2 linked regions of the Canis lupus familiaris genome follow. The protein of the gene in region 2 purifies or fractionates together with the protein of the main gene of each other region. This does not show direct contact. Links are inferred from orthologs where the notes say so. Each region holds a gene or a part of one and is shown on either strand. Other genes may lie near its edges.

The links.
Region 1: the proteins of REXO4 (region 2) and RRS1 purify together in Homo sapiens (co-immunoprecipitation; 3 studies listed by BioGRID and IntAct, with this or other methods). This does not show direct contact. The link is inferred for Canis lupus familiaris from reciprocal best matches to the Homo sapiens genes REXO4 and RRS1.

What each region holds. Positions count from the first base shown.
Region 1 is NC_049250.1:16,481,688-16,485,113, reverse strand, and holds RRS1 (ribosome biogenesis regulatory protein homolog), read right to left. Parts: upstream 2,539-3,426; 5' UTR 2,412-2,538; coding exon 1,314-2,411; 3' UTR 813-1,313; downstream 1-812. UniProt on the Homo sapiens protein: Involved in ribosomal large subunit assembly. May regulate the localization of the 5S RNP/5S ribonucleoprotein particle to the nucleolus.
Region 2 is NC_049230.1:49,882,539-49,885,931, forward strand, and holds the end of REXO4 (RNA exonuclease 4), read right to left. Parts: intron 2,908-3,393; coding exon 2,833-2,907; intron 2,341-2,832; coding exon 2,266-2,340; intron 1,638-2,265; coding exon 1,506-1,637; 3' UTR 769-1,505; downstream 1-768. Other genes in the region: serine/threonine kinase-like domain-containing protein STKLD1, read left to right, coding at 6-85, 392-481.

The sequences.
Region 1 (3,426 bases), on a different chromosome or scaffold from region 2:
AGGGTCAAGTGTTCCACCTCACAGTGGGAGAGCTGATCAATGATGGCAAAGTTCAACTTCAACTTAATCACAAATTATCCTAACATAGTATCAATTTAACATCTGTGTTTATAGTAATATATGTAATTTGAATTAATCTTTTCTTCTATGGCAATTTCTAAAGACGACATAAAAGTGAGGCAACACTGAAAAAGGACAAAGTGAACTCCCAATTTAAATTTCCTATCAACTACAAGACCGAAAAAAACAGAGTGGCTCATGAGTCTCCCCTGGATTCTAGATGTACTATGAATCCTTTTCAGTAGGTACTGATTTACTAAGATCAATTAGGGAACGAGGCCCATAAAAGCTATAAACATTTGACCTCCTAATTAAACCAGTTAAGGTCAGTTTGACAAATGAATAAAAAATAACAGTGTTCCAGTTAAAGATCTGGTGGGTTTATCTCTTCTCAAAATAGATCCTACCTGAAGTTAAAAAAAAAAAAAAAATTGGGACATAAATGTTGAAAACATTTAAGTATTTTCTGGATTAATGAGGATTATTATCATTATTTAGTGAAGCCCAAATTTATAATTTACCATAAATGTTTTCACAGTAATAAAAAGCATAAAATCCTTTTTCAAAGAGACAGCAGTTGTACAGCACTTTCAATATTACATCTGTTACTTATTAGAAAAAACTCTTACTTCTTTTGGTATCACTGAAATCACCATAAATTACCCGCTTTATATTTTTTAGAAAGCAAATTAAAATAATGTTAATAAGGTATCCCCTGGCTTTACTTAGAATTTCTACCAATAGCCAAAATGTCAAAAGCGACATTAGATACACACTTTTATTAATTAAATAACTTTCATAAGAGTTACTTGTAAGTCATTTTAAATTGTAATCTTTCTGTCCCCTCCCCCTTGCTTTGATACACTCCTTTGTTATAAAAATAATGCAGAAATCAAATGTAAGTCTGAAAAACGACCAACTTTCCCTCAGTTTCCAAAGTCAAAAAGAAAAAAAAATACGTCTTTAAAAATAGAACTCATTCCCAGTTTCCACTGAATTCTTTCCTTGATTCTTAGGTCCTCAAATACATCCTTTAATCTCCAGCCAATTCTTGGTTGTGGGAAAAACATTACCTTGTAGAGTCCAGCATTTACATACTATTCTGGGGGGCGTGAGGAGGGCAGCCTATCCCTTCAACCTCAAGCTCAGTGAAGGCAGCACATCTTTTTCAACATTCCTGGCCTCCCAACCCAGTAACTAGAACTTAACATTTAGTACAGTTCTTCGTTTACAGACGGGTCCGAGGGTGAAAATTACTTTCTTCTTTTCCCTCCTTGGTGTTGCCCTCCTTTCCTCTTGCCGCCCAAACGAGGCGGCCCAGAGTTCATCTTGCCTCCCAAGCCCCCCTTTCTCTTCCCGGCCTGGCTGGGCGGGGCACCTTTCCTCTGGCCCCCAGGGCCCTGCCGGCCGCCTTTTCTCTTGCCCTTCTGGCTCATTTTCCTCCTCTTTGCAGCCTCCTCTTGGTCCTCTTCCCTCATCTGTTTATTGGTGGCCCTCGTCACGTCCAGCTGAGGTTTTTTGCTGTTCATCACCCGCAGCATCTCCAACTGGCTCTTCTTCTCAGCTGCAAAGTCCCCGAAAAGGGGCTGAAACTTCCTCTTCTTGCCGGAGCTGCGGGGCGCCTTCTCCTTGGGCAAGCGCTCCTGGAAACGCCCCACAGAGGCGGTGGAGACCTTGGCCACCTGCATGGCGCGGCCCAATTCCTCCTTACTCTGGTGTCCCGTAGGGTGCATGCCGGCCGCACTGGGCAGCTGCATCTTGTGCGCGCGAGCCAGGTTACGCAGCCGGTTCAGCTCATTCTTAGCCACGCGTTCCTTCTTGGCTTGGATCCGCTTGGCGAACTGGTCCTCTAAGGGGTCGGCACCGCCGGGCACCTCGATCAACCATTCCTTGGTGTCATCCCGAGCGCGCTGGTAGCCCCAGCGGCGTCGCCATTGGCCACTCACCTCGTCCCACACCAGATTGGTCTTCTTCTTGGGACGGATGCCCTTGAGCCGCGCGAACTGCTGCCAGCGTGTAAGCGGCCGCGGCCGGGGCACCGGCTTCTCGCGCGGCAGGCGCGTGGTGGGCTCCGGCAGGCGTGCCACCAGCGCCTCCTCCACGCGCTCCGTGGGCAGCTGCCACAGCTGGTTGATGAGCAGTTGCGTGTTGTCCCGCGCCAGGGCCTGCAGCTCCGCCTCCGGCGAGGGTCCCGCGCGCCGCAGCCCCGCTGGGGGGTTCGGGTCAGAGGCCAGCAGGTTACCCAGGTCGAACTCCAGCTCCAGCTCCTTGTGCACCGTGATGCGCTGCAGCTTCTCTGCCTCGTCCCGCTCCGCCTTTGCCAGCAGCTCCTCCACGCTCGGGCCCTCCATGGCTCGGCCTCGGCTCCCTCGCTCCGGGAAAGCACTTCAGAGCCCCTCTTGCCAACGCCGGCTCTCGCCCCGGCAACGCAAGCACGTGCGGCCGCCGAGACGCTCGTTGCGGAAGAGAAAGCTTCGCTTCCGGGGCACCCGGAACAGGCTCCCAGTCCCGGCAAGCCGAGGAAAGGCCGGCAGAGAGCGGTGTTGGAGAGCAGATGGGATTCCCGGAGGCCCTTCGGCGGGAGCCCGGAGGTAGGCGGTGCTGGCCCAGGAGTCTGGACTACATTTTCCAGGGCTAACTGGGGCTGTGGCTCCCAGGATGCAGCGGCGTAAGGGGCGGTGCAAATTTTGGACGTCGAGTTCGAGGGCTCCGCGAGCGACTGCTAACAATTTCAGTGTAAAATCAGTTCACGAGATGTTTTCGCTTCTGGGACTAGATAAATTATATTTTACCCGAGCCCAGACCCGTTCATGGGGGGTGGGGGTGGGGGTGGGGGTGCGGGGAGTCCTAGGTGTGGGCCGAGAGACACGTCCCACAACTGCACATAAAGCTAACTGTGGAAGATTTGGTTTGTTTTCCAGGCGAACGGGCCCTGGCAATTAGATTTCATCCTCTCCAGGCTTGTGGCAAAAGAGCGCTGGGCTCTGCAGTGAGACTGCGCGAGTTCCAACCCTGCTGTTGGACCTTCGGGTATTTGGGCCTATTTTTAAAAACCTGTAAGATGTGGTGGTAATAGCACTTACCTCTTAGGGCTGTTTCAAGGATAAATGAGTTAATATGTCTCTGGGGGAGCTTGGTATGGAACATAAGAGGGCGCAACAAATGTTAACGAAATACCAATTATTACTCTTTCTAATCGCTCTGGGAGTAGGCTAAAGAGGCAGTGTTATACGGTGATCATACACCCGGTTCTTGGGTCAGATGACCTAGAATCTCGTTTTACAGGACCTGCTTTGGACAGATTGTTTAACCTAAGCCCAACTCATGAGTGGAAAATATGAAACATTAGTTCCCGGTATGTTAGCC
Region 2 (3,393 bases):
CACAGAGGAGATCCTGCCTGAGCTGGTGTCCAATGGGATCCAACCCCTGGTCCAGGAGATCAAGGAGCGCTTCACCTCCAGCCTGGTGAGTATCAGCAGGGACCCACAAGCCAGGGCTCCCACCTGCCCCTCAGCCAGATCCCAGGGGCACTGAATCCAGTGGCTCAGAATGAGAGATTTTGTGTAGCACAGACTCAAATCTGTATATGTGGTTTTTGATGACTCCTTCCCTAGTAGTGAGTCCATGTCTCTGACTCTGCCCAAATGCCCCAAACCTAAAGGGTGGAGACTTTCAGACCTCTCCACTGAAAGGCAGATCATCACAAAAATACCTACTCCTAGGCCCCCAGAGTGTCCACAGCAACAGTGCCTGCTGGTTGTCTCTTCCCAGGAGCTGGTTTCATACGCAGAGACGGTGCTCCTCAGCCTAGAGGCCAACACGCCACCAGGCTCCGCGGGAGGAGAGTCAGGCCTGCCGTGAGGCGGCAGGCCCCCCGAAGCCTCCCACCCCCTGCCCCTTCTCTCCTGTCCTTTCTTTCCTTGTACATCCCTGGAGCTGCCCAGTGAATGGTTTTCCTTAGGGTTGGGGGGGGAACGTCACTTCACTTTTCTTGGGGATGAGGCCCAAGGCTGGAGCCTGGTGGGGCTCTGCGGGCTCGGATTGGCAGGCGCCACACAGGCCTTGGCCCTGGCCCGCTCAGGGAGGCAGCTGGACACAGTGGGCCTTTGGGGCCATCCTAAATGAGGGAAACAGTAACCTCCACAAACTTCACCTCCAGTAAAAACCTGCATTTATGTTAAATGTCCTCAGTGGGGTTGGGCCTTCGTTGTGCAGCGGTCAGGTGGCCCAGGGTTTCATGCACCAAGTGCGACTCGTAGCCCCCCGATTGTTCTCAGAAAGACCAGCACACCTGGGGTCAAACCCATGGGATGCTCCAGCCCAACGGCTGGGGGTCGGATCGACACGTCCATCTTAGAGGGGGAGAGGCGCCACCTCTGGGAGTGACTGCTGTCACTGAGCATAGACAGCCTGAGCCTCGCCGCCACACTGTGGGCCCTGCCCTTCTGTTTAAACTTGGTAGGTCTACACACGGGCGGGTGGGGGGGGGGGTGCACGGGGGTGAGAAGGGGATGGCGCTCAAGTCCAAAGGCAGCCATAGCCGACTCCGAGACAGGGCCAGGTCCAGGAGTCCAGCAGAGTTCTTTACGTGATCGGACTCAGAGGGAAGAGGGGCCTCCTCCAAGGAAGGCGCTGCAAACCCAGGAGTGGGTACTTCCCACCCCTGGGACCAGGCAAGTCCCTGGCAAGGCTGCTGCCACACTGCAGTGGCAGCAGGTACCTCCCTCCATCAGTCCCCATCAGCCACCTCTGGCTGTGCCCAGGACAGACGCTCCTGCCCATGCTGCCCACCCTAAGTCCCGGACTACACGCCCTGCCACCAGGACAGTGAACGTGTTTCGACACAGCTGCTGCTCTGGGGAGACCCAAGCTGTCCCATGCTTGGTCACAAGCGCCTGTGGACGGAGACACTGCTGCTGTCTGGAGTGGGGGCTGTGGGGTGCCTGTCCTGGGCCGTGCTCTCCCACTCCTTCTTCACCAGGATGTACAGTCTCATTGCTGCCTGGGCATCCTGAATCTAGGGGACACAGAACATTACTGTGACTGTCTGAGCAGGTGACACGCATGGCTACAGACCACCCAACCCCACAACTGCCAGGCCCGAGGACCAGACACACACACGAAAAAGCCAAGCCAGGCAGCAGTTTAGGGACTCGATCTTGGCCAGGCTTTGGTGACCCTGGTGCCTCACTTATGGGGGAAAAAAGGAACCCAAGGAAGGGCAAGGACAGACACACGGACACGTAGGCGGGAGGACATCTCTGAGTGTAATGCCATGATGTGGGGGCTGGATTCCAGGGGCCAGCAGCCTGGCACCAGCACTCCTTAGCCCCCACACTGCAGCCTGTCACCAGGCCCAGGGACTAGCTGGGGCCATGTCACCCTAAAAGACCTTCAACCTAGGTTGGGGACTTTTTCTCCAAAAAGCTGCAATGATGGTACTTTTTTGTGTTCAAATGTTAATTAACTAAACGTAAACAAACATTCAGAATTTAAGAACGCTCTGTGAGCCTGCTGTGCCATCTCACTTTTAGGGACCAGAGGCCTCCTACAACTAAGTTATCCAGGCCCCTGACAGGGCACCTTGGCTGTATGGTCAGGGATGGCCCCTGATCCTGAGGACAGTCCCCCCAGGTCACACTTACCGAACAGTGCTCTGCCTGCTGCACCTGGATCCCCAGGATTCTCTCTGCAAGCAGCTTCAGAGATGGCCGCCCACTCTGCCAGGGGAGAGGGGAAAGCACACAGCCACACTGGGGTGCAGGCCTTTGCAGGCTCTGCCCTAGGGCTGCTGGGCACTGCACTGGGCAGGGAGTTAGGGGAGTCACCTACTGAGCCCCAACCCAGTGCCCCTCGATGTGCCTTCACCAGAGGTGCCGTGGCCTCCAGGGCTGGTGACACCTGCAGTCAGCCCGGAGAGGAGGACCCAGGCGGAGTCTGCATCTCTCTTCTAGCCTCAGGCCTCCTGCTACAGCAGATCTGAGGGCGGCAGCTCCCCTGAAATGGTGGGGGTCTTCTTGCAGAGATTGGGGCTGGAAGAATCTGCTCCTGCTCACATGGACCTCTGGGGGCAGCCCTCAGCAGAACTCTATACTTTTTTTCCTTTTAACCTTTGAGTTTCAAAACTTAAGACAACCCCAAACCAAAACCAGAACCATTACACAAACCAGGAGAACAACTGTGACGTATAGAGCCCCACTCATTGTAAGTACCTTCACTTGACTCTTGAAAGGTTTGTATTTCTGTGTGTCCCGAATCTTCTTTTTTGGGTGATCAAGAAACAGTACCTGGAAGAAGAGAAGAAGGATGGTCACTGTTGTTTGAGCGTGGTGGCGGGGCTCCCTCCTGTCAAGGTGCCTCTCAAGGGACCCTGATGCAAAACACACTCAGGTAAAAGGGGACTGATATGAACTCGGACTTGTGATAGAAAGCTATCACGCTGTCTGAAGACCATGCCCAACCCTAAGAACCCCATTAATAAAGCCTCAGTCTCAAAGCCAGGGAAACAGGAGACCAGCAGCCACCACTTGACCAGCGAGCACAGTGTTCTTGCATTGTCAGCGGGTGTCACACAGGCAGGATGTCGGGGGGATAACAGATTGTAGCAGCTCATCCTACGACCTCAGGAGAGGGCTGGACACAAGTGCGCCCACGTCACCAGAGATGGGGCAGGCACAAAGGGGCTGCAGGACCAGTAGGGAGGTGGCCACTAAGGGTCTGTAGCACCGCATTGCAGTGGGCAGAGGACCTGCCAGCAGTTTCAATACTTCAAA